2 linked regions of the Oreochromis niloticus genome follow. The main gene of each other region encodes a partner of the protein of the gene in region 2 in a complex. Links are inferred from orthologs where the notes say so. Each region holds a gene or a part of one and is shown on either strand. Other genes may lie near its edges.

The links.
Region 1: the proteins of tent5c (region 2) and bccip are in contact, whole or in part, in a cryo-EM structure (PDB 8EQB), measured with the Homo sapiens proteins. The link is inferred for Oreochromis niloticus from reciprocal best matches to the Homo sapiens genes TENT5C and BCCIP. Residues at the interface, in NP_060179.2 of Homo sapiens: Asp90, Asp92, Glu102, Gln106, Arg109, Lys135, Glu136, Val139, Gln140, Lys141, Leu142, Val143, Lys144, Val145, Cys146, Thr147, Asn164; in NP_510868.1 of Homo sapiens: Val57, Asn58, Ile59, Glu60, Phe61, Glu62, Ala63, Tyr64, Ser65, Arg136, Gln146, Cys153, Lys155, Ala204, Gly205.

Annotation. Positions count from the first base shown.
Region 1 is NC_031973.2:11,321,657-11,338,440, forward strand, and holds bccip (protein BCCIP homolog), read right to left. Parts: upstream 6,477-16,784; 5' UTR 6,346-6,476; coding exon 6,205-6,345; intron 5,922-6,204; coding exon 5,847-5,921; intron 5,760-5,846; coding exon 5,679-5,759; intron 4,864-5,678; coding exon 4,774-4,863; intron 4,664-4,773; coding exon 4,476-4,663; intron 3,876-4,475; coding exon 3,707-3,875; intron 3,495-3,706; coding exon 3,324-3,494; 3' UTR 2,657-3,323; downstream 1-2,656. Other genes in the region: dhx32a (DEAD/H (Asp-Glu-Ala-Asp/His) box polypeptide 32a), read left to right, coding at 107-247, 1,577-1,767, 1,855-2,042, 2,286-2,484; uros (uroporphyrinogen-III synthase), read left to right, coding at 7,213-7,275, 7,362-7,445, 7,534-7,630, 7,766-7,840, 8,707-8,781, 8,888-8,971, 9,102-9,187, 9,266-9,364 and 1 more. UniProt on the Homo sapiens protein: During interphase, required for microtubule organizing and anchoring activities. During mitosis, required for the organization and stabilization of the spindle pole.
Region 2 is NC_031987.2:28,025,744-28,042,408, reverse strand, and holds the start of tent5c (terminal nucleotidyltransferase 5C), read left to right. Parts: upstream 1-10,261; 5' UTR 10,262-10,321; coding exon 10,322-10,383; intron 10,384-10,477; coding exon 10,478-10,564; intron 10,565-11,522; coding exon 11,523-12,696; 3' UTR 12,697-16,665. UniProt on the Homo sapiens protein: Catalyzes the transfer of one adenosine molecule from an ATP to an mRNA poly(A) tail bearing a 3'-OH terminal group and enhances mRNA stability and gene expression.

The sequences.
Region 1 (16,784 bases), on a different chromosome or scaffold from region 2:
ATCACCAGGTGGACAGCGTAGTATTGGCTCATCTGCAGTTTCTGATGCTCTTTGGTGAGAGTGGTTTCTCTCAGTGAAGTCGACCTTATTTGTTGTTGTGTTTTAGCACCAAGCTGCTTTGTGGAGCCGCCTGCTGCCATGAGCCACGAAGCAGTCCAGTGTCACAGAAAGTTCCAGCACCCTGAAGGAGATCACTTCACCCTCATAAACATCTACAATGCCTACAAACAAAACCAGAGGGAACAATGTAAGACAGTCATTGAACAGAACCAACCTATTCTCTTCAAGAGATAAGATATACTCTCATCAGCCACTTCATTATTTATACATTGGTGCTTTATTTCTTTGTAGCATTGATTCAACAAGGTGCTGGAAACATTCCTCTGTCATGTTCAGGGAGCAGGTTTAAGATGATTTCAGCTTTATTTATTTGACCATTATCCTGCTGGAAGCAGCCAGGATAATGAGCCAGTACAGTGTGGCCATAAAGGGATAGACACGGTGAGCAATAATACTCAAGTAGGCCGTGGCAGTTAAATGATGCTTGATTGGTTATAAGGGGCGGAGAGTGTGCTAAGAAAATATCCCTTAGACCAGCAGCCTGGACTGTTGATGCAGGGGAGGATGAATTAATGCATTCGTGGTGTTTACAGCATCCAAATGTCAGAGCAGAAACCAAAGCTTAACAGACCAGGCAACATTCCTAGTCTTCCATTGTCCAATTTTGTTGAGCCTGTGCAAATTGTAGCAATCTGGTGTGGTCTTCTGCTGCTTCAAAGTTCAACATTTGTGCATTCAGAGATGATCTTCTGCATACCTTGGTTGAATCAAGTGCGTATATGAGTTACTGTTGCTTTTGTATCAGGTTGAAACAGTGTGCCCCTCACTTGTTATTACTTTTTTTTGGCCATTCTTTGTAAACCCTAGAAATTGTTGTGTGGAAAAATCCCAGTTTTGGCAAAATCAGCATTTTCTGAGATATTCAGGTATAACAACCATACTACATTCAAAGTCACTTTCTTCCCCATTCTGATGCTCACTTCAAACTTCAGCTAGGTCAACTTGACAATGCCTAAGTGCCTAAATGCATCGTGCTGTTGCCATGTGATTTGATAAATTAAGGTATTTGCATCAATGAGCAGGTGGTGAAACAGGTGTACCTAATGAAATGACTGGTGACTTGATCTTTGTTCTCTACTGTGGTAAATTAAAACTAGATTCAAAGCCTGTGTTATACTATGGGACAGATGTTACATTTCAGTTTCACGAAGAATTATAACCAGATGGATACGAATAAACTATTCTATTCTAAAAATTGACGCAAAAAACAGTTAAAAGAACACTTGGCTAAATGAACATTTCAACTCTTTAGATTCTGAGAGGCAAACTGCTTGAAATTTTAGTAAATCATATTACGGTACTCTTGAATTAATTACCTCCACATTGTCATTTTCCCCACTCCATCTGATCTGTTTAAAAGGCATTAGGAATTAAACTGTTTTTACTGTGATAGAAACTTCACGTAAATACTGCTGACCACAGCGCTTCTCTCACTGTGCATGATGTTTTCTCCCAGACTTGACTACTGAAAAGTGGTGCCAGGACTATTTTCTAAATCATTCTGCCTTGAGGACAGCTGATTCCATTAGATCAGAGTTGACTGACACACTGAACAGAATTGAGCTCCCAATTTCTGAACCCTCCTTTGGAACCAAGACTAACACTCACAACATCAAAAGAGCTCTGCTGGCTGGATTCTTCATGCAGGTACAGAAAAACAAAATGTCAGTATTAATGAATTTGCCTCCAGCAATTCAATTGTGTTCAAGTTTACGAGGTCTGTTCTTTTCCCAGATTGCTCGAGATGTGGACGGATCAGGCAACTACTTCATTCTTGCACACAAGCACATGGCCCAGGTGCACCCACACTCCTGCTACGGGGCTCAGTCGCACAAGCTGGGACTGCCTGAGTGGGTTGTTTTCAATGAGTACATCCTTTCAGAAAACTGCATGAGAATAGTCTCGGAAATTTCCCCGCAAGTGTAAGTCGATTCCTTTTTTTCCCCAAATCCCCATCAGAACAGTTGTGTACAGATCAGAACTGAGGTCTCATGGATTAATTCTCTTGTAGTGCAGTGGTAGAACAAACATGTTTATTACTGCAGTAAGCATGAGCCATTTGATCTCATTTTAATTTGAATATTTTTAATCTCTTTATCTACACAATATCTTGTGTTGACACAAATGTTTTATATTTAATATTGGTTTTCAAATTTCTCTTTTAGGTTCATTGAAATTGCACCACTGTACTTCTTCTACAATCTGCCCCCTAGCGAAAGCAAAGATATACTGCAAGACATGTTGGGCCCAGAGGGATCCAAAAACCACAAAGAGAAGAAACAGCAAGCTGCAACAATAAGTGGTGACGTAAACGGTGGCTGTGCAGCAGTGACACAGACGTATGACAGATGTATGATTCAGTAAACTGAAAATCACAAATTTAGACTGCAAATGCATCAATGCTTGTAAGACATTTGTATAATTAATACAGTAAAGCTTAATTTGTTACATTAAATTACTCATGTGTATTACCCAATGTTCTTACAGTGCTGAGAAGGCAAAGATGTCTGTGCTGTAAATATAGAAAAGTTTGCAGTTTAATAGTTGTGATCTAAAAACAATATGAGTGAGGGGGTTTCTGCAACACTGCTTAGGTGTGGACTTTATCCGTACATGATGCAGATGCACACTGTCATTTGATATACTTAACAAGCAAAAAAAAAAATGTTCAAGCGAAAAGTAATTTGTCTCCTATGTACTTCCCTATTATGCATAGTTGTCATAAATGCCAGTATACCTTCACATTCTTTTGTATATCCAAGGATCTGATTTTAAAGCTAAAATACGTATGAAACAACTTGCTCAGAATAACTGCTTTGCCCATTTATCTAAGAATGTTCCCTGTTTATGTTGACAATTCAGGACATTTATTAAAACATGTGACATCAAGGAAAGTCTGGGGATGAAATGTGCAGCTGAATGTTAAAAACCAAGGATTTTGAAGTGTTCCTAACACCTCTGATATGCAGTTGCATGAAGTTTCTTCCAGTATTCAAGTATGTGATTATTCCCTATGTCTTTACAATTTGTACAAACTGTCTTTAAAATTTCTAAAACTGGGTAAACCATCGCCCTACATGTTCTAAATATGAATACGTGCATTCCTAAAACAAACTGTACAAAAATTGAAGAATATATTGAATGATTTTCAGAAGCCTGAAAGCTGTCACTGTGTCCATAGGTGTCTTGGTTTATTGTGAAGGTCACACTGATAGATATTCTTTGAGTTTCTCCATGATGGCTGGCATTCTGTCTGTGGGTATCAGCATCACAGTCCTGAAAGGCTTCATGGGCACGTCCGTAAATGACCACCTCCCACTTAAACAGGAGTCTGCCTCTTCTTGGACTGTGTAGTGGAACTTCAAGATGGCTTGCTGTAAGGAAAACACGGACCAGGCTTGAAATCAGAGTATAAATATATTGAATAGCTTATCAGATGGCTGTTTAAATGAATATTTATCTGAAGTTTGACATGAGCTAACGAACTGCTGTATTTTTACCCAGATACTGTTAAGTAAGTAGCCCCGTGTATAATAAATATTTAGTTAAAACCTTGAACTTTGTGCAGATTTCTTTCCGACTTTACCTCATAAAAGAATTCCTCCTCTGCATTAACAAACATGTATTCCTCTTTGGGAGCTCCTCCTGTGGCTGGGATGCTCTTGGTCTCTTCTCTACAGGTCTTGCTGATAATCAGGCAGTAGTGGCACCTCCCACTGGGCTTATTTGTCCTCTGAGCGTCAGCGATTTCTTCCCTAAAGGACCGTAACATGAAAATCTTTTAACCACACACATGGATGTTTTTCTAGTTTCTATTAAAAAAATAAATAAAACAGAATGGAATAGTTTCCAAATCTCACCAACAATTTTTATTAATAGAACACAAAACATCAAATGTTTCATAAAATATTAGCTCATTTTGAATTTGATGACAGCAGCATGTATTAAAAAGTTGGGATAAGAGCAACAGAAAGGTGGAAAAGTAAGTGGTATTAAAAAGAAAAAGCTGGAATAATTTGTAGCCAATTAGGTTAACTGGTAAATATCAGTTCCCAGATGTTCAACACTTGTTAAGAGGGGATCCTACACTATTGTAAACATGGCCCTGTCCCAACATTTTTAAGATGTGTTGCTGCTAATATATTTCATGCAATACTAAAAGGTCTCAGTTTAAATATTTGATATCTTTCATACATTCTACTGTGAATAAAATGCTGATTTATAAGATTTGCAAAGTATTGCACTTGTTCCGTCTTATTTCAGTGTTTTCAAACACCATCCTGACCATGTTCTACCTGCTCTCACAACAATAACAAAACACTAAAGATGGAATAAGAAGGTAAAGCAGAACTTACTGGAGCTGTTTGTGCAGTGGAAGGGCAATCTGTGGAGGCACATTGATGAAGCGCTCACTTAGCAGCAGCCCCACAGGCTTGCTGTTATCATTAAAGATCTTCTCCAGCTGTTCTGTCACAATATGAGAAGCATTCTTCTCACACTGATCCACAATCAGCTCCTTCACCTCCTCCACACATTGTACACCCTATGAACAGTACAAGACGTGAGTATGAAAATTTATATTAAAAAAAACAAAACACTGACATATTCCAGCCCATTCAAGACTAATTAGTTTTAGTTTGCTAGTCATCTGACCTTTCTCTCTGTGAGGTTTAGCATGGTGATGAAGCCAAACACTTCATCTGGGTCGTCGTCATCGTCGCTGTCTTCGGGCGCCTCAGCTTGCTGGAGCATAGTGGAGAGACGAGTAAATAAACAGCTGCTCAGAAATGAATGTGAATGAGCATGAATGTCAATCTTGGGTTTTAAATGATTTTTTTTGTCCGTTCCTTTTCCTGGTGGAATGATTGCACAACATACATCTTTTAAAAAAGAAAACACTTGGGTGCACACATTTGAATTTATTCCAGCCTAATGTTGCCATCCACTTTGTACAATGTAGCAATGCTGTTAGCAGCAAAGCAGCTCCAGAGCATCATGCTACCACCACCATGTTTGAAAGTATAGTGTTCTTAGGTTCAAAGGATTCTCTGTGGACAGTGAATTATTGCTGGTGTTCCAGCAGTTTCCAGTTCACAGCTTGAACTTTGGTGGTTTCTGAGTTGTTCCTGAACATCCAAACCAACTCTCAAAACAACTCATCTGAGGGTGACAGTTTAGGTCTTTGTCCAGATCTTGGCAAAGTTGTCCCACATTCGAATAACTGCTGAGTATTGCTGTTAAAGATAAACTACCAGTTGTAGTAAATAATGATTACAAATAAGATAAATAGGCCTTGGCCTCATCAAGTCAAGACACTGTATAACCTTCAGCACCACTAATCAAAATATTTAAATAAATGTATGTATATATTTGAGCCTTTTGGTTCCTCGTGTTTGCTTTTGATCCCATTTGGATTAATAAAACGCCAAAAGAAATTCAAACATGTACTCCCAAATGCTGTTTTTTAAGTCATTAAGATGTGTGCAGTATGCATTGTTTGCATTAAGATGAAGTTCAAAGAAATCACTGAAAGCCCAAATTATCATGACATCTCTCACCTTGATGACACTTCCAACATGATTTTGTTGGATGATGATGTGTGTCATCTCTGATGTATCCACATGAGCTTTTAAGAAAAGCTGTATCCAAACATAACAGAAATGACGTCAGTGACACCTGCTTACACACAGTATTTGAAACGTGAAATAACAATACTAAACCCAAACCTGCTGCAGCAGCTTCTTTATGCCGTTGAAGTCATTGTCTGAGATGGTGTGAGCTTCAAAGTCTACAACGACCTCCTGAAAGCGTAGAAGTCGTAATTGCAAGTTTTATTGTAACCCATACTCTGATTAGTTGTGCGAAACTTTCCGATATTAGTTTCACAGGGTTAACTTATTACAGCGTATTCAAGTACAGTATCTTCGAAATAACATATTCTAGTATATTAGTTATTTATTTTCTCACATGATTAACCAAAAAAATATTTTCATGAGCCTTTCTGTTCACATTAGCCCTACTGCTGACTTAGCTAACTAGTTAGCAAGGCCATGCCTCCCTTCTAAGACGTGTTTGTTCTTTTACCTCATTAATTTCCTCATCTGACGCCTCACTGTCCTCTTCTCCGGAATCGTCTTCCTCCTCTGGATTCTCATCGGAGCTGTTGTCACTTTCCTCGGGTTTTTCACCAAAACCTACTGCCCTTTTCTTAGCCAATGAAGCCATGCTGCAAACTTAAAACACACGTGTCTACTAAGTGGGCGGGGCAAAGACTAGCAACTGTCAGCTACGAAACTGAAACCCTGAAGCCGCCATTATGGCTCCACATATACACGGCTTGCCGCTTATTAAATCCACATTCAGAGCTTCAATGTCGGCTTGTTGCCCGTTGGTGAAATGGAATAAACCATTCTATAAAACGGGGACGAAAATAAATTCACATGCCCCCGAACCCTTTGTCACATGTAGTAGATATTAATTTAAATTATTGAAACTATATTTTTAAATTAAATAAACACATTCTTGTAATACTACTTGTAATACGATTATTTTACAAGGTTAGTCAATTAGACAGTGTTCTGTCTCCCCTCCTCGACCGTGGATGATGAAAGTCTGAATGAACACTCCAGGTACATAAATTTTGCCTAATATTTCGTCTTTTTCACCGTTTGTACTTCGTGTCACTGTAGCTATACGCGGATAAAATATTCGCTTCTATCACACATTATCACAGACAGGTTCTGTTAATTGCTACCGTAGATAGTCTGTCATGCACCGTGTCTTGCTAGGGTAAACAAGAACACTCTTACGGAAGAAGACACTTCACATACACTTTTAACTAAAATGGCCCATTCGCTTAATTTATTCGCTGTTCATGCACAGTCTTATGATCGTGACTCAACAACAGTCTTATCAGCATGTGACCGTTTTAGGGTGTAACGTTGCTTAAAATGCATTCACACCCAATGTCCTCAGTGTTTTTGTAGCTTAAGCCTCTGACTTTGACATTATTGCAGACCTTAGTAAACCTATTTTACCTTGGTTTGTTCGGAATTAACCATCTTTGTTATTTTAATAATCCAGTGTTTCAAGATGCGTGTATTGCTGCTTAAAGAACCAAAAGATGGAGAGTCTGGATCTGATCCCTATATTAAGGTACACGCCCTTTACAGTTAAATCAACTAACTTAAACCAGTTTCTTAAAATTTGTCAGTATAACCGTTATTATTTTCACTTCGAAGGAGCTGGAATCACGCGGACATAAAGGAACCCTACTTCCGGTGCTGTCTTTTAAGTTTGTATCATTAAACACTTTGTCAGATAAGGTAAATTGTTGTTCCATTGTCCATTCATTAATCCGTTCATTTTAACAGTTTGCATATTCAGTGGATTCATGTATTTTGCTTATTCCAGCTTTTCCAACCAGAGAAATATGGTGGGCTCATATTTACCAGTCCAAGAGCAGTGGAGGCTGTAAGGATGTGTTTGGAAGCGGATGAAAGAAGGGAAGGTGATAAACATTACTTTTCTCGAAGCTGCTGTATATCATTGATAGAAATGACTTTTTTTGGTAAAAACCTTAAAAAAACAAGTCAAGTTTCTGTAGTACATTTCTGTAATGCCCAGTGTATGTTGTGCTATTGAGAATGGGACAAAGCAGCGAAAGACAAGTGGAACACCAAGTCCATCTATGTGGTTGGGAAGGCCACTGCTTCATTAGGTGAGTCACATCTATGGACAAAGGTAATTTCTCCCAAAATCCTCCTTTGTGTCTTGAGCTCCTTGTAAACTCGTGCTAATTGCACCAGAGTGTGTCGGGCACCTGGTGCTCATAGTGATGTGTGAAATGCTTTGTCTACCTTCAGCCATTTGTTATACACAAGTGACAGTTTGCCGTTAGTGATTGTTCAGTGTCTTTACAAAACAAGCAGGTGCAACACTTTCTACATGTGTGCTTTAGCTTCTTCTTTTCAGTAACATTTCACAGTGGGTTTTTATTTTGAGTCTCTCAGTGAGCTTCTAATTTAGTTATTGAATTAGTTGAAGTGAATGAATGTGTTTTCTCTGCCACGCTCTTATGTCAGTATTTAGCAGACTGTGCAAAAGTATTGAGCCACCCTCATTTCTTTGTATTTTACTTCCAAGGACCCAGACGTCCTTGTAATTTTTCAAAGTGCTCTTGAGTTACTCCTCCAGGCTTTCAGAAGGTCTTTCAAATTTGTCTTCTGACATTTGCTGGTTTTTCCACTTATTTTCAATCCAGGCTTTGTACTGTGCCATTTTCAGAGGAATGCGGTTTGGTTGTTAAGCCACTTAACACTGGCCTATGAATGCATCAAGTATAAAAAAAAAAAATGCACCCAAGTCAAGGAATGAACAATTGTTGTGTCTACACATAGCAGACAACTTAGAAAAGACTAGAACGTAATGTCTTTTGTTTAGTGTTTTCTGCTTTTAAAAACCTTGCTGCACCTATTTCCCATTTTCTAGCAAAATATAAAGAAATGTGGGGTGGCTCAAGAATTTACCACATTACTGTATAGCTTATCATTTTTTTTTCCTTTTCATGATTTTTATCCCATACAGTACAGAATCTAGGTCTGAACCCTTTGGGAGAGGACACCGGGACAGCGGAGGTCCTATCACGACTTATTATTGAACGTACGGCGTAACTGTGGAGTCTCACATTCCTCACAGTTTAATTTTAATAGTAATTTTATGATTGCTCTTATTACTCATATGATCTCACGTATAATTCCCGTCATAGGAGAGGCCACCAATATCCCACCACTTTTTTTCCCCTGTGGCTCAATCAAAAGGGAAGTCTTGCCCACGGCTTTAAGGGAAAATGGTAAGCATTCCCCCTGTTGTGCCTGACAATTAAAACTCAAGGTGATAAAATTCCCATTGGGATTATTCTAATTATAAAATAATAATTGCACTATCTTTATCACTGTTGGGATCTGTTTCTTTGTTTCCAGGAGTGCCCCTAGAGACACTAACTGTCTATCAAACAGCAGAACATCCCGATCTGGAGAAAAATCTAAAGAACTATTTCACAGAGCAGGTAAAGTGTCATTCTTATTGCTTTTATTTATTTATTTGTTTCAGTATAGCAGCTGTTCATTTGTTTGTATGCTTATAGGGCATCCCAGCAAGCATAGCTTTCTTCAGTCCATCAGGAGTGAAGTTTTGCCTTGAAGTGGTGCGGAGGCTCTCGGCTGAACAGCTGACTCAAATAAAGGTACATCTTCCTCACAGTCATACACAAATAGATTTAAATAATGCATGAATCTGAAGTGCTTAACAGAGCTTTACTCACGTAAGTGTCTTTGTTTCCAGTTTGCAGCCATAGGGCCTACTACACAACATGCAATAGCAGCAGAAGGCCTTTGTGTCAGCTGCACTGCAGAAAAGCCAACAGCTGAACACCTGGCGATAGCGATAGCTAAAACTCTGCAGTGACCAGCTTTTAAAATCCACCTGCCTCATCTTTGGTGTTTGTTGTTATTATATATGTAAATACGTACTGTTATTTGTGTGTTTTACTGCTTTACTGCCCATCTTTATTGTTGTTGGACATATGATTCTGCTATTTTTGCACTGAGAAAAAGTTATTTTTTGCAGCACCAGAGCCAGGAAAGTCTAAGATAAAATTATAATTTGCTTTATATGATGTAAGAAAATGACTGAGAAAATAAAAGCCAATCATTTTGATAATATTGAAGATTTTGTCTGTGGTTATTGCTTGTGTGTTTCTGTGTGTTTATTTCCTGTCCAACACAGTGCTTGCAGGGGTCATCCCTGTCTTTTACTGTCCACATGAATGTGAAGGTTTTAACATCTTTCCACGGATCAGCTGCAGTCCATTTAAAACCACTGAAGCATGTATAACATAACCACAGAGTAAGAGTCAAATTGAGCAGTCGTAGATTGTAAAAGATGAGTTTACTTTTCACGCAGAGGTGAAGAAAGCAGGTTACTGTAGAGTCACACCTCTGGAGGGGTGTGGAGAAGCTAAGGATTTGCTTATAAAGCAGCGTTGCTCCTCACTTGTCATCATCTCATCTTGCATATAGACCCAGGAGTAAACCGCTAAAGGCCACGATGCTGAATTTAATCCAGCTGATATTTATGCTCTTTTTGACCAACATTAGCACAACTGATGCAGAGAAACTTTTCCATAATCGGGATCATTCTGATACGCAGACCCTTAATTCTCACCGAGCTCAGGCTATAACAGACAAGTACACAGCTGAGGTATATTGTTTTTTCTTCTTTTTTGACTACCTGTGTTTCTCAAACTTCAGCATCCATTTAACCAGACAGGGGATTTGTCTAATGTAACCCGTGTCTTGTTTTAGTTATTTCTCTCTAGATATGGATTCATCAAGCCAGTTAACTGGGAGGAGGTTCAGTTTGAGGATTCAGATGCCTCTTTCAGCGGTGACTTCCTCGACGATCTTCAAGCCACAATCCAAGAGGGAACCTCAGCGTCTTACTCGAGAGCTGCTCATCGAGCTGGTGATCAGCAGGGCTATAACCGTCAAAATGAGAACCAAGCCTTTATTTCAGCACTTAAAGAGTTTCAGAGGGTTTCAGGTCTGCCTGTTACAGGGGTGTTTGATGAGGCCACCAAGTTAGCAATGAACAAACCAAGGTGTGGAGTCCCTGATAAAGAGACTGTTCTGACCAGCCCTGTCATCACTACAGAACCTGAGAGCAGTGGTGACTTTGATTTTGAAAACAGTACCACTGACAGTTTTACTGAGACCAACAGGAACAACACAGCAAGTGACATAATCAGTGGCACTTCTTTAGGTACTGCAAATTTCTCTGAAGACGACATATTAAATTTTAATGATGCAGACGGTGTGCTCACAGCCATTTCCAATGACACCAGCATGAATTATACAACAGAGCTTTTTAAAGATCACTTCTCCAAACAGCTCGCACGACAGCAGACTGGGCAGCCAAATGGGGAATTTCAGTGAGAACGCGCATCAGAGTGAAGCAGTGAGACGCAAGAAGGAACATCTCGCAAGTCTCATATCCAAAAGCAGGCGGAAGAGAGATTTGACTCCAACTGGCCACATGGCTTTTTTTCAAGAAGGTGTTAAACTGGAGGCTGATAGGAGAAGGCTACAGCAGCCAGCTGACTATTGAAGACCAGAGGTACATCTTCAGACTGGCTTTCAGGATGTGGAGTGAGGTGTCGCCACTGGAATTTGTGGAGGATACACATGCCCCATTGGAGGATGTTGACATCAGGCTGGGATTTGGTACAGGTGGGTTTTAGTCAATATTTATGAGCTTCACTGCAGCATGAAAGCTACTTTTGGCTGCTCCTTTATTCACAGTGGCCACAGCAGGTAGCTCCGCATGTTTGGTTTGGCAGAGCTTTATGCCAGATGCCCTTCCTGACACAACCCCAAAAGGATTTGTGTCTTCTCCTGAGATCACACTGGGGATCTTTCCCTTGTTAGGTGGATGTGTGAACCACTATTATTATGAATAAAATGTGGAATGGTTAGATTTGACCCTTCACATCACTAGTCTATGAAGGTTAATTTCTCATTTCAGGATAAAAAAGTTAAAGAATGTTATCTCCTTGGCCACATATATGTTTAAGACTAATAAAGCATCTGTTAATGAGGTTCATTAAACACAAAAACTCCCAGCAATGTTAAAGGTAAATGTAAACCACGACCAGTCTTCTTAGATTGGAAATATTTTCCTCGGGAGGGTCATTTATATGTATGTCTGCAGAGGATCATTAATGTTTCCACTGTACCTCCTTTTTGTGCCAAATAACATACTGCATCGTTGTGAAATTCTTTCATAGGAAGGCATCTGGGATGTAATCAGAAGTTCGATGGCACTGGTCAAGAATTTGCCCATGCTTGGTTCCTGGGTGATATACACTTTGATGATGATGAGCACTTCACAACTCCCAATGTTGGCAGTGGAATCAGCCTTCTCAAAGTAATTATATTCCTGCACGATCAAAGGAACTGCCAGGTTTATATAATTCCAGTGATTAACAACGCATTGCTCTAACAACGCCTTAAATATATTAAACCTGTTTAGGTAGCAGTTCATGAGATTGGCCATGTTTTGGGTCTACCCCACATATATAGACCCGGATCCATAATGCAGCCCAGCTATCTACCCCAGGAGTCCACCTTTGAAATGGACTGGATGGACAGAAAAGCTATACAGCAACTCTATGGTACATGGTTACAGCACCATCTAGTGGTTACTTATACACTCTTGGAGAAATGCATTTTGCTGTATTTTTGCCCTAATTGACTAATGCAAATTTTTTTCCCCTGTTGTGCTTGCATTTGACACCAGGAGGCTGTAAAGGCCGGTTCAACACGGTGTTTGATTGGATCAGAAAGGAGAAGACACCCTATGGGGAGGTGGTGATCCGCTTTAACACCTATTTCATGAGAGATGGGTGGTACTGGCTGTATGAGAACAGAAATAATAGAACACGTTATGGTGATCCAGTTCCGCTGCAAACTGGCTGGCATGGGATCCCCATGGATGGAGTGGATGCACATGTCCATGTCTGGTCCAGGAAAAGAGATGCTGTATATTTCTTCAGAGGTACACTAAGTGGAGAGTTATACTGTTTGAAAGGAGTTAGTGAACAAATTGATACTTTGTGAAAATGTAATTAACTTATTTATCTACAGGTACTCAGTTCTGGAGGTATGATAGTGAGAACGACCAGGTGTTTGGACAAGACTCTGAAGGTCACCAGTATCCGAAGTTAATCTCTGAAGGATTCCCAGGGGTGCCAAGTCCTATTGACACAGCCTTTTATGACAGGAGGGACTCCCACATCTACTTCTTTAAAAACAATCTTGTAAGTGCAATATTACCCAGCTGTCAGATATTATTACACTGATATAAGAGCAAAGACATGAGGTTCAGTAAGAAAGTAAATTAGGAAATATTCATGAAGTGCTTAAATGACAAGCTGGAATGATGTGGTTCGATATTAAAACACACCGACCATTATACATATTTAAACTTAAAACGTGGCTTAGACTTAACGGTCATTAATCAAACTGTTTCCATCTGTGATTTGCAATCTAGCAATGCCGATTAGTAGAACATGCAGATATAAAAAGCAAAGTCCTGGAGAAAACCCAAGCTAATTAATTGTTTCTTAGGATTATGAGGGAATGTCTTCAAGCAAACAAATGCACTAAAGTTCCTCTGTGAATTGTTTGCATTGTATAATTGAATTGATTTCTGCATAACAAAAAAAAAGAGCAATTATCTCTTTGAACAGGTGTATGCATTCAGCGTGGAAGCCAACAACTTGGCAAGAGGGTTCCCAAAAAACATCAGAGATGTTTTCCCTCCTGTGGTGAACACAGACCATCCAGATGGCAACATTGACGCTGCCTACTTCTCCTACACTCACAATGCCATCTTTCTTCTCAAGGGCATACGCTTCTGGCAAGTAGTGGGCAGTCGTGATCGCTGGCGACGGCCCTTTCTGCCACGAAATGGCCTGCTGCCACATAAGGAGGTGGATCAGCATTGGTTTGATATCTGCAATGTTCATCCCACTGCACTCAAACTAACCCGCTGAGAGTGTTGCAGCAGAGATGCGATAGAGCTTGCTAAAGTTTGCATATGTGATCTACTGATTTAATTTTATGTTCACATATTGTCAAGCTGCAATGATGACTGTCTAATTTCTAGAAGACAACAACAATTTTGAATTTTGTTGGCTAATTTTCACCGAGGTGTGTTATTTATACATGTAACAGCTGCTCTTTCATTCCTTTTCTCTTTTTCGGAGCAGTGCTGAATGCATTCTGGCACAAAAACAATCCTAAAGGACTTCCTATTATTAAGATATTCAGAGAATGAGTGATAATTTGTTTATTGGATACTTATTCATTAAACGGACATGTTGTTTCGCTCACAGATACAGTATGTATAATGTAGATGAAGCTAATAAATGTTTTGCTGAGCTGCTCAAAATGATATTTGATGTGCTGAAGTGCACTGTGTAGAAAAATGCTTTCAAATGGCAAATGTGCAAAGAAACATTAAAACAGGCTTGTGCGTACTGTGAAGTGACTTCTTATGTCACATGTAATCTTAAGAAAACCTCTAAAAAGATTTGTGGTATTATGAGTGTATAAAAATAGAATTTTGCTCATAGTGGAAGAGCTGGTTTCTGGGTAAACTTATAGATTGAAAGCATCTTTCTTTTGACGTAATTGTATTGAAAAAAAAGACATAAATTTTGTATCCTCGGATTGTTTCTTTTTGGCACAGTATGTGCCTGGAAGGGATACAACATTATTCTCTCAACTTAGATTGATGATCGAGGTGTAGATATACAGTACTAGTCCCTATTGGCACGACTGGATGATTTGATAATTCTATATTTGTACGAAACTCTCAATTCCTGTAAATCATACTTGTAGAAATCCACATCTGCCTGTAGGCATGAAAGAAAGAACGAAAGAAGTGACCTGGAAGCCGGGAAACTTTCTCTTTATTAAAAACCCTTAAAAGTTAAGAGCAACTCTTCCACTACAATAGGGTTTTGGGCTGAGGGAATCAGATAACCCCTATCAATAACAACCTGGAGGTGGTGGAAAACAACTATCGAGACATCATATTTTCGAATGCCCTCTCATTATGAAAGACTTACACACTATCAATCAAAAGAGAGCCTTTTGAAATGCGCGCTGAAGTAAAACGATTGAACGAGGTGCCATAATGCTGTTATATTTTATAATGATGATTTGAGCATGATGCAAAGAAACAGGCATTGATTCTGTAATCAATATGTTACTTGAAGACGCTTATTAATTCAGCTCATCTTAAGAGATTAGGCTCCTGGTGGGCCCCAGATAACTAGCATTGTGCTGCAGGCGCTCTATAGGCTATATTAATAAATTAAAGTAGAAATCAATTACAAGCAAAGGAACAAAATGTCGCGGTAAGTGGAGCTACATAGAGGGTTATCATGGGTTGATGAGTCTACTCACACAGCTATAGAAGGAGCTTCTCTGTCTGCTCATACCTCTGCTTGTTTTTTGAGCTAATATTTTGTTTTTTTCTTGTAAGATTAAAGAGATTTCTGTGATTTAACAGGATTAGGCAACATTTTAGTGATTATTATAAACACGAGCTTCATATTAAAAATGCAAACTTAAAGAAAATTAGAAAATATTATTTATTAAAATACTATATTGTAATATTAACAGTCAAGAGAAATAACTTACATATAGCCAAGGTATTTTTGTTTGAATAAAATCAGCTTTTATTCTGCAGATCTTAGCATAAAATATTGACACAGGAATATTGAATTCAGTACATAAGATGATGCAGTGCAGTGCAGCCATTTGATCTGTTTGTTTATCCCATTATGAGGCACCGTACACCTCCTCCATCCTGGAATTTCACATGCAGCAAAATCCTAAATACAAACTGTTATTCATGCATTCATATGGTCCCCAGCAGCTCACTGATCTGTGCTTTTGCACTGATGGTACTGCCGTTGAAACTCCCTTCCCTACACCTCGGGCCTCTTTGAATGCGACTATGATAAATGAGATCAGTCATGCTGATGAAGCTGCAGCAGCCCCAGAGAAATACAAAAACCTGTGTCGTTGCAATTCACATGGGAGGCACTTTAGAAACTGGAGAATGGGATGAAACTCCTGCAGCACATTCATATACCGAAAATCCCCAAACTCTTCCAAGACATGAAAATAACTTTGAATACTGTTGCCTTATTTATATGTCTCCAAGGGATTTTTCTTTCTTAAAACATGGAAATAAATGATTTCTGGTGTTATTTCAAATGAGGATCATACAATTATGTGTTTTTGCATTTGTCAAGGGATTAGTTCAACAAGCTGCTGCATGTAGGTAGTGCGTTGCATTTAAATGTAGAGATTTTTGTCTGTGAGTGTTATCCTTTTAAAGATATCCTTGCTGTCCCGTGTCTGGGGCTGAATTAATAATGAGTGCAGGAGTTTTATCACTTTTAGTGTGTTCATAGAAAAATAACATAATGTCACATCTTGTTGGAGGGAATGATAAATACAGTCTCTTTAAAAATGGGCTTTATATTAATTCACCCAAAAATCTTTCATGTCCAATCCACCATCTTCCCTTGTAGAACAAAAGGCTCACCAAGTGGTAGCCTGACTAGAAAAATGAATGATAAAGTATTGATTGTTGTCATGGACCTTTTGAGCTTTTGTATAGTATTTTGTTATGTTTGCACCCAAGTTACTTCCCATTTTACCTTTTGAGTTTCCCTGTTTTATGTGTCTTACTTTCTGTTTTACATCCCGTATCATTATTTATGGATTTAGCTCACCTGCCTCTTGTTCCCCAGCTGTTTCCATTCTCCCTTATTACCCTTAAGTGTATTCATAGCCCTGCCCTTCCCTTCAATCCTTTGTCAGAGTGCCTGTTTACCTTCTGTTGTGTGTGCGCTTCGTGCCTTCTTTGGAATCTATGAGCTTTAGTCTTATCTGCCTAACCTTACAGTACCTAATACCGTTGGATGATAGCTAAGTACTAACTGAGTATTTTGCTCAAGTACAGGTTTAATCTGCTTAATCTATTTATTCTACTATTATTATTACTATTATTTATTTGAA
Region 2 (16,665 bases):
ACTTTGACATTGGTTGAAATCCTGTTGTTTAAATTATTTAAACTGCAGCTCGAACTCTGTAATCATATCTTATGAAACTTGGCTGCTCTGTAATAATACAGTGGAGGAAATAATTATTTGATCCTATGCTCATGTTTTGTGGCAGTTTTGTTTTAATAGAGAGTTTTGATGTAAATAGACAGAATATCAACCAAATATCCAGAAAAAACACCAAAGTGAGGAATTGACTTGTATTTCATGGAGTGAAGTACGTGTTTGATTCCCAAGCCAAACATAACTTAGTACTTGGTGGGAAAATCCTTGTTGGCAATCACAGCAGGAGGATATATTTGTAGTTGGTCACCAGCCTTGTGGACATTATAGTCCACTGCTCTTTACACAAACTCTCTAAATCCTTTAGGTTTCTTGACTGACGCTTGGCAGCTCGAAGCTTCGGCTCCCTCCACAGAATTTCTATAGGACTGAAGTCTGGAGACTAACTAAACCACTCCATGACCTTCTCCATGTGCTTCTTCTTTAGGCACTCCTATGTTGCCTCGATGATATGTTGTGGGTCATTGTCATACTGGAAGACCCATCTATGAGCCATCGTCAGTGTTCTGGCTGAGGGAAGGAAGTTCTCGTCCAAGGTTTTATGGTACATGACCCTGTCCATCGGCCACTCGAACAAGCCAAAGCATAATGTTTCCACCTCCATGCTTGACAGGCGTGGTGTTCTTTGGGTCATATTCCGCATTTCCTTTTTTGGAAAGGTCAAGTTGATGCAAGAGAGCTGTTGATGCAAGTTGATGCAAGTTGATGCAAAAGAGCTCGACTGTGGTTGCATCTGACTGCAGCACTTTCTCCCGAGGCTTCTCTGAATCATTTAGATGTTCAGTGGCGAACAGGCCTGTACATGTGCCTTCTTAAGCAGGGGGACCTTGTGGGCGCTCCAAGATTTCAGCCAATTACAGTGTAATGTAATACCAGTGGTGTTCTTGGTGACTGTGCTCCCACTTGTGGTCTGATCCACCAAGTACCTCATGATCATCCTCACCTGGTGAGGCAAGATCTTGCATGGAGCTCCAGACCGACATTTAGTTGATGTTCTGTCTCTACTATTCCCACCTGTTGTATACTAGGTGCAGTGAAGCTCAGGATTCAACCACAAGGAACTGGGAGCTAACAAAACAAAGTCTGCTATTAAGTTCTAGAAGAACCATATCTGACATCCTTTGTTTTCAGTTCACTTTACCAAGTAAAGGAGTTAGAAATGTGTTACTTTACATTCATTATTTGAGTAAATGTTATTAAATTAACTCATAATATATAGTTCTTTTTACAGTACTCCTCTGAGAAGGACAGCACTGCTTTTCCCCAACTGTAATTGATCGCTGTTGTTCTGAGAAATTACCTGGGTCCCAACACACAGCTCATTCGGCCCCCTTTTAGACCACTGAATGTGCCATGTGGCCCATTTGTAGCTTAGAGATTAAAGTAACTCAATCTTCTAGATCTAACCTCGCACAATAATAGCAGTACTACCTGTGCCCTCCTAAAACGAATGTAAACGATATGTTGGTGGACGTGTAAACCAGACGTGCCGAGAACATGAAACACAATGTACTCGGAACATTAACGCGTTTGTTTAATTGAAGCAGATGTTTCTGCCTGGTCTTTAAAACCCCGGTGACCCCGTGTTAAATTTCAGCTGCACTAATCAATATTGGACATTAACAATGTATCAAGTGACTGCTTGTCATGAAAGCTCTTTAAATGTCCCTTTTTTTCAGCATTGCTGGGCAATAACATTCAACATTTTACATAACCTGTTATGAAACAACTTATTGCTATCATGTTTGTTTTTCTATAAGTCCATAGAGTCTCACTTGTATGTTTAGAGCCTGTCGAATTGCTTAAATCTTTTATAGTAGCATAAAATTTATCACTGCAGTGAAACCAGTTTGTGTGCACTTTGAATCTTCAAGCTGTTAAAGCGAACAACACTGATCAGATCACATGACCACTGGATTCCAGGCAAGGTGAGAGATGACGCGTAAGAGTTATTACAGGAAATCCAGCCTTGGTGCTGTCTTTCACTGCGACCTGGTAATAACACAGAGCGCAGTCTATTTCCTGCATAGCTGTGTCTTTGTGTTACAGAGTATTTGAGGAGTGGTTCTTCAGAGACACATAATGAGTAGCTCAACACGCTGTCATTTCTGTGTTGGTACTTTCCTGTCAGCAGCGGCTAACCACCTAGCTCATCTTCAGTCTTAGTGCCTAGTTATCTTTGTGTCGTCTGTATCCAGACTCCCACTGTCTGTCATTATAGATCCTCAAATTAAACAAAAACATTTCTGGAGTAAACCTCCGGGTGGTTTTCATCTTAAGTAGGTTGTCTGATGAGGATTTGTGTTGTCTGCTTCCACCCCAGTATGGCTAAGGTTAATGGACTTTTAAAGGACTCGGCAACATCTCTTCTAGGTCAGGATAATAACGAGCCTCATCGTGAACTACTTTGTTGTGAGAAAGCCTCAGTGAAACCTGTCGGCACCATCTTCTGTGGACTATAATTGTGATTTTTATCTTTTGAATGAAAGGACTCTCTGCTCTTAAGATGTTCATTTCCACGCTTTAAGCATTACCGTTTTGTGGAAGAGATTCAGGCATTTATAAAGCCCAGTCTACCTGCATGACCCCATACAACCACCTGCCAGTCAGCCCTGTACTGTGTAGTATAGTTGGCTGCTGAAAGTTTGCACAAGCCTTCATTAAAAACCAATTTTTGTATTAAATAAAAAGTAATTTTGTAGATGACAGCGACTGTGACTTTCCATTTACCAGATTCTTGTGCATCCTTCAAATCTAACCGGATGCATATCATGCATATGTGCATGGTCATTATACTCCGCTACAGTGGAAAATAATAATAATCCAACCTTTTGGGTCTTTGGCCTTTACAGTAAATTTACAGTAATAATTTCTACACAAGGTCTGACATTTTTTGATATTTTTAAAACAGTTTTTATTTCCTAAAATGGAAGTGTATGTGCCATCAGTACTGCTCTGATTGTTACACTGCTGAACATGTGGATTTTATTACTCGCAGAATAAGTTTCTATACAGTTTACAAACTGCTCACAAACTGTTACAGTTTTGGGAAGAGTCGCTACAGTATCCTTTTGACAGCTGTGGAAGAGCTGTGCAGTGCGTGCGTGTGTGTGTGTGTGTGTGTGTGTGTGTGTGTGTGTGAGAGAGAGAGAGAGACTGGCCTTCACAGAGACCTGAGATCATTTACAAGCTTCTCCTGTGTAGTTCTTACTTGATCAGTCTCACCCCATAAGACAAGATCTTCCATGGTCATTTTATATTTCTCCCATTTCTGAATGATCGCACCTTCTCACCAAGCTTCTCGCTGATGATCTTGTATCTCATTCCAGTCTTGTGCAGGTCTACAGTATTGTCCCTGATATCCTTTGGCAGCCCTTGAGTCTTCCACATGGTGGTGTTGACGCTGGAATGTAAGAACCTGGTTTGGGACAAGCGTGCTTTATACGATATTTATGAGATAAAGAGTATCTGTAACTGATTAACTGTTAGATTACAATCAATCAATCAATCAATCAATCAATTAGTGTGTCACATGGGCACACAGCCAATCTGTGGGAGCCATAATTCTGGCTGGTTTGTAGGGGACTTTACTCAATGACATATCAATCAATTTATAACTTTTATGTAATGTGTTTTTGTTGTTGTTTTTTTTAATCTTTGGTTGATATTCTGTCTCCATAAATATGAAATTACCACAAGACCTAGAGACTGTTCATTTACAGTATATGTAAATGTATATGTGGCAGTTTAATCCTGTCCAATTTCTCTGAAAGTGAGTGTGTTGATGAGACCATGACCTTATCTTGTGACAGAACTGGAAAAAATGCCTACAGCCAGCTCATGCAGGCTTGAGGAAAGCTGAGACCAGTCACGTTCAAGCTTTCATAGCAAAAATCTAATCTTCACAATTTTAGAGGTGTATTTCTTTAGGTGTGACACCAGCAGAGGCTACTTTTTATTTAGGTAAACTTTTCTGTGCTCTCCAGAATTTAAATCATTATTTACAAAAATGCTTATCTATAAAAGCTAGTTTCTACAATCTAAGAAGCATAGACTGTACACAAAAGATGGCACAACAAGTATGGTGCAGTAAGGACTCTGAAGGGTTCTTCACACTTGTGTGAATGTAAGAGAGAATCAATCACATGGTAACATTAGCTAAGCACTGTGCTAGTAATTAATATATTCATACCATCTATTTATAGTTATAAAAAACTGCAGTTAAAATAAAGATTATCTGATGTTCAGAGTCTTCAGCTTAAGGAAGAGTGTGGTTGGTTGCACCCAGTCACACAACATTTGGTTTTCTTTCCTCATAGCTGAGAAAACACATTAAGTAGCTGCAAGCCAGGTATTATATCAGTGTACTGACCAGACAAGTAGGCAAACAGGTCTACAAAGACATGCAAATAGTACATTACAGACATTCTAGCAGCGTTTGTGTGTGAAAGAACAACTCTGTCGGGTGCGTTTCTGTGCCTTTTGTAACTCTGTAGAGCCTTCACATGGATAAACAACTTGTATAATAGACCAAAGGAAAGGAAAAATGATAGGGGCCCTTTATAGTCACTTGGTGTGTGTTTTCTTTTTAGTACAGTCCTCTGAGAGAACGCCAGAAAGTCCGTTTTTATTGAAGTGCACAAGTTCACTTACATCCATTAACATTCTTCCCTCAATAGATGAACAAACGTTTTGTTACAATACCATGAGTGATCACCTGAAACAAACACTGGCAGTAGCTGCGCGATGAGCAGCTCTGTATGCGTTCAAGCTATCGGCTCACTCATGTCAGCTAAGCTTTAAAGGTCAAAGTTCTGAACACACCCAGACTACTCACCAGCCGCCTGAGGCCTTGTGGTTTCATCAGGGACAGACAATTCTGCATGACGTCAGGACCAAAACTGTAGGCAGACACACAGTGTAGCAGATCTTTGACTGACACATAGATAACTGACATATACTATATATGCAAATCATTTGATAAGGAGTCCTTTATTGTTTTATTTGTTTTTACTATTTTCAAAGATGAGAAAGAAACTGAAAATATAGTCTTATAACTATTTCTAAACCATACCAAAACAGTGTAAAGGTGCTTCAGTTACCAATAAGGCATATGATCAAATGTTATCTTACTGATTAACTGAAAAAATTTCCAGGATCCGATTAATTTGAGTCTAATAATTTGTTGATGAGCAGAATGGAGTAAAAAAAACCACACAAATGGTAGCACTTTATATGACTTCCCCCGGTGTACTTCCCCCTGAAATTAAATGGAATTTCAGTGTATTTTATTTGAATTTATAACTTAATTATATTTATTTACACATACTTAGAGGTAGGTACCCTAGAGTAAGGGGAATACATCAGGTTTTACAGGAAAAAAGAAATAGTTATACTGTCAGTAAGTTTAAATGCTTAGTAATAAATCGTGATTTGTTAGGCAAGAAAATAATCCACTCCAAAATTGGACCTGTGCCCCAAAAAGTACAGCATATTTACACAAGATATGGAAATATTGTTTGTTTTTCTGGAAAATTATCAGGAAATTACACATTAATTAAAATTACCTATGTCGTATTTAACATTGCATAGAGTCTAATTTTTGTCTCCTTTCCAGCACAATACACAGAAATCAGGCACTATTTGCGATTACTTTCCCACTACTTAAAACTACTTACAATGTAATTATTTCTTCTTTCCTGTAACATACAACTTCTTGTGCCCTACTTAATATTACTTTTACAGTACTTGAAATTGCTTATGTAATAAATTGTATCTTCCAGTTAAATACCCAAAGTCGTTAAATATTTAGAATTACTCACTTTCACACTACTTAAAATTACATACAGGTTTTTTTTTCATGTAAAAACCCAAATTGTTACCTCCCTATTGTACTGTAACTACCTGTAAGTATGTGTAGGTAAATACATTGTAACTTTAAATAAAATAGAGTGAAATTCAATTTAACCCTTTCATGCATGAATTATGACAACCTCAATCAGGAATTTTTTCTTAATTATTCACTTCATTTTCTTTAAACATGCATTATTCAAAGAGTTATTTACAAGTCCACTTAGGTGGACAACATACATTTTGACTTATGAATTTGGTATGGAGTGACACATCAGTGTCCATTGTAGTGGTTTATGTGCAAGTATACCATCAACACTGACACAAATACAAGAAAACAGGCTTTGAATAGCTGTCCACAGAAGTGACCACTATGCGTGAAAGGTTTAATTACAGGAGAAATACACCCTTAGTTGCAAGCGGTATTATAAAGTGTTACCAACACAGTATTGAGTTATTTATTCTTTCATTTATTATTGTATTAAACATATTCTTATTACTCTTTTTTTCAAGTAGTGTGACTGTTTGTTTGTCTCTATACACCAGGTTCAACAGTGCTTCCAAATGTTTTGTATGCTTGTGCTTACATAACAATAAGGGTCGTCTTATCTTATCTTATCTTATCTTAACTTATATTATCACATCTTATCTTATCTTATCCTGTCTTATCCTATCTTATCTTATCTTATCTTATCTTATCTTATAAAGTTAAATTCAAACCCAAGTGATTCTGAGACATTATCTTGTGTTCTTGAAAATTCATAGGGTTGTTTTTTAAACATTTTCTTTTTTACAAACACTGATAACCAACATTATAGCTGCAGCCTGTCAGTTTTACTGCCCAATTGCCCCAAAACAAGTTCCTTTTTCATCTATGTGATCTTTGTGATCATCACATAAAATGGGAAAGTAACCCCCCCATCCTTATCAGCTTACAGTCTTCCCTTTGTTCGCTTAAATGAAACATCATTTAAAAAAAACTGTATTAAAGTGAAATCTGAAAATGACATCAAAGTTTCTGTCATCACAAGTTAGAATTAAGAAAAAAGTCTTAAATGAGAAGCTAAGGCAGGCAGGAGGAGGGAATCCCCTTGCTGATCGGCTAGTTTCCTATCAGTGTTCCTGATGCTGACTCACTGACGCTGGTGTACAGCCTGGCTCCCTTAGGGGCTCCACGCTACCCACAATCCACAACCACGCAGCTGACACAGCTTAAGCTTCACACTGCTGATCGGTGGTTTCATCTCACCTCCCGGTCTTATCATCGTGGACGACACAGAGGAAAGGAAATGGTTCTTACTCGTGAAACCGAATCTTAAGTCACCTATTCCCTGACTCATTCACTGATGTGTTTGTGTGTAAGGGTGAGCAATGTGGAAGGGGATTCATTTTTGACACGAGGAAAATAAATCTCACATCAGTTTAGAACTTTTTTTATATAATGATGTTGAATGGGGATGTAATTAGTTTTGTATACTGCACTTTTCACTTTGTTCAGTTTGCAATTTTCTCCCTTTTTTGTCATGGATTTTGCTGCGATTCCTTAATAAATTGCTTTATTTTTTGTCTTTAAGTCTGTTCATTTTTATGTGTTCTCATTCAGGATACAGTTGTCTTTTCAGTCCTCTCACAGCGTCAGGGGGATTCTGCAGTTTATTTCTAAAGAATCATTAACAATAATTCATCTTTGAGAGTGAGCGAAAAGCTTTCTTGTGAATACTTAGCATGAAATTCTTGTGAGGTTTCTTCCACAGAAATCTATGAGGTAGGTTCAGCAGCTGGCGAAAATATCTACCAGACACTACATAGTCCGAAGAACTGTGTCGTGCCAGTGTGTTTCAGTGGATAGTACTTTGTCTATATAAAACAGGCTTGTCTTCAGGGGGTTAGTGGTTTGATTGCTGTCTTTTAAATGGTGGCTGTGTGTGTCTCCCAGGCAGTGGGTTATGTGGAGGCGTGTGCGTGACAGCCAACTTCGTATCTCATATTTCGAACTTTGAATGCTTACAGAACAGCTTTTTGGAAGTGTATGTAACTGTGTGGGAGGGGATTCATTTTTGAAATCCCACATCAGTTTAGAAGTTTTATTTATAATGATGTTGAATGGGGATGTCATTAGTTTTGTATACTGTACTTTTCACTTTGTTCGGTTTGCAATTTTTTCACTTTTTTTTGTTATTGATTTTGCTGCAAATCCTTAATAAATTCAGACTCAATCAGAATCAGAACACTTTAATAGTCCCTAAGGAAATTATGTAATTGTTTCATTTTGTTCTTTAAGTCTGTTCATTATTATGTGTTCTCATTCAGAATACACTGGTCTTTTCAATCCTGTCACAGCATCAGGGGGATTCTGCAGGTTCTTTCTAAAGAATCATTAACAATAATTCATCTTTGAGAGAGAGAGAAAACCTTTCTTGGGGATACTTAGCATGCAGATGTGGTGATTATCAATGTAGGTGTGATCTAAAGAGGATTTTTAAGTTTGTGTTCGGGTGAAATTCTAGTGAGGTTTCTTCCATAGAAATCTATGAGGTAGGTTCAGCAGCTGGGGAAAGTATCGGCCAGCATTGCTTCCTGTATAACTTCCTGTATTGCTGTTAACAGTTAGTAGAAGGCCAAGTATTTTGGCCACTTATCTATTAAACAACACACTTTTCTTCAAGACATACAGAAGATTAACTGTACTCAGCCACTGCAACTGACCACTGGTTACTGTTTGACAGATTTAGACATATATTTGTTCTGGTGTAAGATGATCAGACTAAGCCCATGAAATTTGTGAATTGATTGGTCACTAGTAATTGCAGAAGAGGATTTGAACTAGACTGATGGAAAAATCATTGATCAGTATGCTTTTTTTGTTTTATTTTGTTTTTTTGTTTTTTAAATCTTTCTGAATATGTTGTTAGTCAGAGGCAGCTTTTAGTTCATGAGGATCACCAATCTAAATCCAAGGCAGGACCCTTCTGTGACCCTCCCTGTGCTTGTGCGGGTTTATAGGAGCTCCAGTTTACTCCACTATCATGAACCATGGCAAGCTAATGCTAACTGATTCAGCTCAGGACAGTCTTGCAGAAGAGATTCCTAATATTAAGAGTCTGGTTTCCTGGTGAAAGATTATTAAGAAAAAAAAATCAAATACCCTCTAATTCAGAACAAGATTAAGAGTTTTCGTTTAAGCATTTTTACAGAGATTTAAGGACTTTGAGACTGCTTTTGTTTGACCTCTGAGTTGTATTCTATTACTCAGATACAGGGGTATTTCCAGGATTATTAATTTATGAATTTATTGATTTAAGTGGAGAAGAAGAATAAGGCTGGGGGTGTCCACAGGAACTTGGAATATCTAATGAGGAATAAATAGATTGTGAAAAACACTAGGCACAATTTTCTGGTTTCAGTGGAGCCCTATGTCATCATAGAGGTGGTGTTACATGAAAAGTGACACTAAGAAGTCCTTAAAGATAGTTTTGTTTAAATGACTATTTAGTGAAATTGGTGAAATTAGTATTTAGGCCTTTTATTTAAGTAATAGAACAAGTGTTTTAAGCTCAAACGATACTTACAGCTGAAGGAGATTTTAATTAGTTACAAACTGATAGGTAGTTTTATAATATTAACAATAAAAAATAATAAGTCACTGGAGGTTTAAAGATTATGGACTACAAAGTGCAATAATTGCACATAAAATAGAGTGGAGTGGAAGTACAAAGGTGTAAAAATAAAGTATAAGTACATTTACCCTGTACTTCAGCGACTACATATCCATATTCTAGCTCATTCAATGGCTTTGAGAATAGCTGCATTCTTAGTACTTTTATCAAATGTCAGTGGTGATAATTACTTTTTTTTTTTTAAACAAACGGTTAAGTACTAGCAATGCAATATTATACGCAGGACAAATATTTTGGGTCAGATTTACTGTGAAAACACACATACACATAAATGGTAATAATTAACAGCAGCTATCTCTGATACATAGATGGTAGTTTTAGCTTCCCTGTTTTAAATAAATATGTATCCATATATATGAATCTTTTTTTCTGAAGTAACACAAATTATGAGTGGAATTTATTATGACAGTCGAAATATCAGCAAATATCAGCAAAGTGAAATGAAATGAAATTATGAAATCTTTGCCTACCAACAGTTAAATGCTACTCTTAAACTAGACGCTCCTGGTTACTTGGCAACGCATAAACCTCATTGGCCAATCAGATACTTAGCTAGGCGCATTGGTACAATCTGACGCGGCCATTCTAAGATTATGTGATCTGCAGACGATGAAAACTAAGTTTTTTGGTAAATATTTAAAGTTAGTATTTTATTTTAACTATCCTCGCTGTATTGCTCACATTGTACTTTCTAAGTGTAAATGGCAAACTACATAGTCCGAGGAACTGTGTCGTGCCACGGCGGTGCATGTGTTTCGGAAAGGTAGTACTTCGGCTATATAACAGGCGTGTCTTCAGTGGCTTTGGTGGTTCAAACGCTGTCTTTTAAACGGCGACTGTGTCTCTCTCTCGGGCAGTGGATTATGTGGAGGCGTGTGCGTGACAGCCAACTTTACATCTCACATTTCGGGCTTTGAATGCTTACAGAACAGCCTTTTGGAAGTGTATGTATCTTTTAACACCCTCTTCAGTTTCTTACGCAAATCTGTGTTTTATTTTCGTAGTTGGGGAAAATAGTGCGTTTGATAAGTATGAATTGCTAAATTTAAAGTTTGCCGTGCTGTAGCCACGGTTCAAAAACGTGTCGCCGGTTGCGCTATTTTAACGTGAGACGTAGATACCTAAAAGTGTGTTGCTTGAGGATATTCCAACTTTGCATAACCGCTGAATTTACAAAGGGTTTTATGACCATATGGCTCGACACTAAGTTAACCGTAATACTATCTTGCTAGTGTAGTGATAAAGCATTCTTATCGTCAGTTTCAGAGCAGAGTTTGGTACGCGTTTTAAATGCTGTTAGCACTGAGCCTTATTTGCTGTACATAGAGTAAAAGTTGGTTTTGACCTCCGCACGGCTAAATTGACAAGTCAGCTGGAATAAATAACTGTTGTTTAAAATTTTGCCCAACGTGTGTCGCGGCGACTTTTGTCGCTCCACGTAGTGGTGAATAACTAGTAGTAGTACCGGTTGTTTATTCGGGAGACCCCCGGCTTTACTGGACTTGAAGCTAGCTCGGTGTTTGTCTCTCAGCGGTTCTGGAATAAAAGGCAGGCTTGCGCAGTGAGCTGTTCTAGAAACCTCACGGGCTCTGTCCTTTTACTGTGTGTCGCGTGCAGGTTGTCTCATGCTCGCGCTCTCCTGTGCTCGTGCTGAACGCTCCTGTTGCTGCTCCTGTTTCACGGCAAGAAAATGGTTCTTAATTACATTTAACTGCGTCCCCCCCCCCCCTTTTTAGACACACATTACTACAGCTAGACCAAATTTGGTAAAATTAAGAAACAGTAATTTTGTTTCTTTTAAAGAATATTGGCTAATATTGTCACATGGTAGACTTTATTTGGTATGTGTCACACTTGAGGGCTGTCACTAACATTTTTGTTTTTTCTGTCCTGCCTCCTTAGTCAATCTAAACTTTTTGAGAAGATGGATAACAAGGAGGTATCAAACAGTTGTCCCTTCAGCGACTTGACTTGGGAGCAGGTGAGCCGGCTCAATGAAGTTCTGACTGAGGTCGTGCCCATTCATGGACGGGGGCACTTTCCTACTTTGGAGGTGCAGCTGAATGATATTGTGGCTCGGGTGCGCTCCCGCCTTGAGCTCAGCGGCATTAAGGTGAAGGACGTACGGCTTAATGGCTCCACAGCCAGCCATGTGCTGGTGCAAGATATTGGCTGGAGCTACAAGGACCTGGACGTTATCTTCAGGGTGGACTTGCCACACGAGGCTGAGTTCAAGCTCATCAAGGATGTTGTGCTTGGTACCCTGCTGGACTTCCTGCCTGAGGGTGTGAACAAAGAGAAAATTACACCAATGACCCTCAAAGAGGCCTACGTGCAGAAGCTTGTCAAGGTGAACACAGAGCAGGACCGCTGGAGCCTCATCTCCCTCTCCAACAATAATGGCCGTAATGTGGAGCTGAAGTTTGTGGACTCAATACGTCGGCAGTTTGAGTTCAGTGTCGACTCTTTTCAGATTGTGCTGGACTCCATGCTCTCCTTCTATGAGGTGGAGCAGGCGCCCATGTCAGAGGCCTTTCACCCCACTGTTAGTGGGGAAAGCATGTATGGAGACTTCAACACTGCGCTGAGCCACCTGCGAAACAAGCTCATTGCCACCAAGCGGCCTGAGGAGATCCGAGGCGGTGGCCTGCTGAAGTACTGCAACCTGTTGGTGAGGGACTTCCAGCCCGCCAGCGAGGAGGAATTCAAGGGCCTGGAGCGATATATGTGCTCACGCTTCTTCATTGACTTTCCTGACATAGGAGAGCAGCAGCGTAAGGTGGAATCCTACCTCCAGAGCCACTTTGTTGGCGAGGAGAAGAGCAAGTACGACTACCTCACGATTCTCCGGCGAGTGGTTAACGAGAGCACGGTGTGCCTCATGGGTCACGAGCGGCGGCAGACCCTCCACCTCATCTCGCTGATGGCCCTCCAAGTCCTGGCGGAGCAGAACGCGATCCCCGACGCGTCCTGCGTCACCTGCTATTACCAGCCAGCGCCTTACGTCCGAGACCACAACTTCAGCAACTACTATGTGGCCAACCAGAACATTCCAACATGGCTGCCGTGTAACTGACGAGACAAACAACTTGGGATGAGCAAGATGGCGTCGCTACTGCTGCTGCATTTGAGAAGAGAAGGAATGAATTTAAAAAAAAAAAAAAAAAAAAAAAAAACATTAAAAAAAAATGTTGGGCAATAAATAATTTGTTCCTCTCAAGGCACAATTATATTTAAGTGGACAAGCGTTTTGCTTTTGTTTTCTCATTCCTTTACGACAGAGGTGTCTAGGTCATTGAATCGAAAGTGATATTTTTAAGTGTTTCGAATTTTTTTTTTTTTTTTTTTTTTTTTCTCTCCTCATGTTTGGTTGTTTCACTGTTTATCAATCCCATTCTTAATGGAGTTGCATTTTGTGCCTTAACCTCCAAGTTTACCCCATCAGTAATTTAAGTATGGGCTGTGATTTGGAGAAGGGAAAGAGGAGCTAATGCCGTAGCCTTACATTTGGTTTTCATCTTGATTTAAAAAAAAGAAAAAGGTTAGGAAAAAAAAGTTGGAAAAAATGCATAAAATATTGAAAAATAGTATTATTGTATTATTGGGGAAAGAGTAATAATAGCTGACTGCCAAAAAAGGGGAAAAAAAAAAAAAAAGCTCATCACCGGTGTTAAAGTTTACTGTGGAGGGAGAAAAGGTGGTACACTAATATCCTGTCAGAAATCAGTGGGAAGCGAGGAGTCGATTTGTTTTAATTCATTTTGACATGTAAATATTTCTGAGACATTTGTGCCAGCGGTGCCTGTGATTTGTAAATGATGCAAACGAGGAAAAAAAAAATGTATATTTTTTTTTTTTTATCTTTCCACTGTGAATTTCAACATAGGATTGGATTGGCTCCCCTCCCTCCCCCCCTTTACCTTGTTTCCTCAGCCTTGTACCTTTCAGTCGAGACTGGCTTCGAGTGGAACTCTCAGACAGTGTAGGCCTCAAATACGTGACCTCACTGCTTTCCCTGTTGTTTTTTTTTTTTTTTTTTTAAGTCTGAAAGCCTTGCCATTGACCTCCACATGCCATGGCCCCTGGGTTATTGTGGGAGGCAAATGGACAGGACTGAGCCTGGTAGGGGGTTTAGAGAATGTGCTTGGCTGGGAGTCCCAGAGTGACAGGCTAGTTGTCTCTTCCCTTAAAAGGAGCAGCACATGGAGGGGCCCGAAGGGTTGTCCCTCACAGCTACTGCATGCTCGACAGCAGCCCTGAAATGGGAGCCACCTCTGACGCAGCTCGGTGCCTCTCCAATTACTCTTCGTCTATAATTATCATCTTTCTCTTTTTTTGTGCTGGGGTTAGCTACCATTGAAGCAGGGAGCTGGAGCTTGGTTGTGTGATCTGCAGCAGCCCTGCCACCTTACATATGTGGCAGCTGAATCACTTCCTGTCCTCCTCATCTGTCGCCTGATGGGACACGGAGCGTTTTGAACCCCTTTTGTGGTCATGGGGAGGGCAGACCACATGCCTGCTAGTGGGATACCATTCCCCCTTTCAGACCTGGAATTCCATCAATGTGGAAGCTACGCCCAAAACTGCAGCAGAGATGAAGTCGCCGCTCCAAACCAATGAATTTCTATTTGTAGCCAAGCCTAATATTAGCTGTTAATTTTTGAACACCTGAACACACTAATGACCTAAGCTGGGAGTATTTCTGGCCACCACTGCTCCTGTTGGTTTTCCTGACATCACAGCAGCCAAGTTTGAGAGCGTTTCCTCATGAACTTGTTCTCCCAAATGGCCTTAGTTTCTCAGAAGTTCGTCTCCCTGTATTGCTGCTGCTGATCTCACTGTGGCTTGTGTTGGTGCGAGATAACCGCAGACCTCTTATCTGGTTGGCTCACAATGTCAGGGTTGATGGAACAATTGAGGGAGATCAGTTTGGTCTGGCTGCAGGTCACATTTGAGGGGCAGGTTGTGCTGTGTCAGCTTAGCTGCAGCGTGTTTTTGTATTTCCCTTTTTTTTTTTTTTTTTTTTTTTTTAATTTCTTTTAAGAACATGCTCTTGGACCAAAAGTCTGCTTTACAACCAGCAACTGAAGCACTCAAGTGCCTGTCACTCTGTGGAGAGTTGATCTTTTTAAAAGGTTTTTTTTAATGGTGGTCATAAAGGGGGAAAGGTTAGCAAAAGTTTTCTTTCAGCCTGTGAAGCTTTGATATAAAACTGTCTGTATTAGATACAAGTTTATAAGGTGAATGCACATATTTTTGGTTGAGGAGCAAACTACTTTTGGTTTGACTTTAAAATTTGAGGGGTTTTTTCCTATTAAGATTATTTTTCTTTAACATTAGTTTGTCCCAAACTTTATTTTTCCTTAAAATCTGCAGTCATTCCCATGGCAGCCATCTGAGTCCTCTTCATTTTACACTTTTTTTTTTTTTTTTCCCCCCTGTATATTTACACCTTTCAACTTAATCTGCCCAGCATTTGCCCAGCACTGTATTCTCTGAAACAGCTGGGCTAATTCAGTTTGACTGTTCTGTTCCCCATCCGAAGCAAGAAATACTGCACTGACGAGCTGTACGGTGGCACGGTAGCTGGAGGTCAGAGTAAAGACCCCCTCCCACACTGGTGGAACACTTTAAAGAGGCCTTGGTCAGTTGCTGTGAGAGCCGTGCTGGTCCTCAGGGACTGCATGTTTTTGAAGACCGTTTTGTCCCCTTTTTTTTTTTTTTTTTTTTTTTTTAAATTTAAGAGAGAGCAAATTGGTTTAATCTGCCCTTGATTCTGAGATGCCCCCTCCTACCTCTCTTCATTTTTCGTCTTTCCTTTGTTGTAATCCTGACTCTCCCTCTGCTCACCCTTACTACAGGCTCTTCCTAGAAGAGGTGGAGGTAGGCTGCAGACTTCAGCTCGTTACACCCCGACAGCAGCCCAGCTTTTTATCTTTACACCCATTCGCTCCAAAATGTTATTGTTACTCAGAGGCTCTCCTAGGTTTGTGCCAAAAGCTGTATTTTAGTGGTGTTCTCCTAACCCTGAGAGGTCTTCTTTGAGAGCTCGGGGACAGAACATCGACTCTGAGGCTAAAATCCCTTTTCCTAGTGGATTATAGTCTTTGAAGTAATGATGAGGCTTGGAGCCACGTGCAGAACCAGCTGCTGCTCACAGTTGGAGTTTGAAGCCTGCTGTGTGGTGAAAACCAGCCTCTTCTTAGGCCTTTTGTTGATGTCGCTCACTAACAGCCGTTAAGAGCGAGGTCAAAGAGAGTGCGAGCAAATTTGCATTTTCCTAGAAAGTTGATAGCAGTCTGGAATGCTAGTCCAGTGCCCTTTTTTTTTTTTTTTTTTTTTTTTTTTCTTTCTCTCCCTCCCCAATCCTCCTTTGCCCCACCCTGCTTTCACATGTTTACGGTTATTGTGGCTCTCTGATGACTATGCCCGAGCTTTTGCGGGGCTTGTGTCTAACCCTTTCCTTTACTGGGCTGATGTATGTCTGAACTCTGTGAACGGAAAGGGAATATTGTAGTTTGCCTTTATTTTCTGGCCACTTTTTTCTGCTGTAAACTTGCCAGTGTTTCTCTCTCGCACCACCTTGAGTTGGCTCACATGTTTGGGCTGCTGTTAATTGATACAGCAAATGTCTTTTTCCCCCCTTATGACACCTGTAGCTGTATCCTTTGCTAGAGGGGAGATGCAGATGAGATATTTAGTGGTTATGCTTGTATAAAGTGCAAGTCTTATGCCATAGGAATGTGATAGAAGCTGTCCTACAGTTTTTGTATGACGATTTATTTTGTTTGCAGCAGAAACAGATGTGTGTTTACGTTAACATGTGGAGGAGCGTGTGTTCGTTTGCGCGTGTGTGAAGGGATGCCTGTGGTAACACAAGTTGAATGGGGGAAAAAAAAAGTGGGGAAAATATGAACTATGTCGCACTATATATATATTTTTGGAAATAGTTGATGCAGAAGAGCTTTTTTGTCAGCTTCGTGATTGTGACTCTGATGGTTACAACCATTAAACTATTTCATTTTTCAGCACTTTTACCTCACTT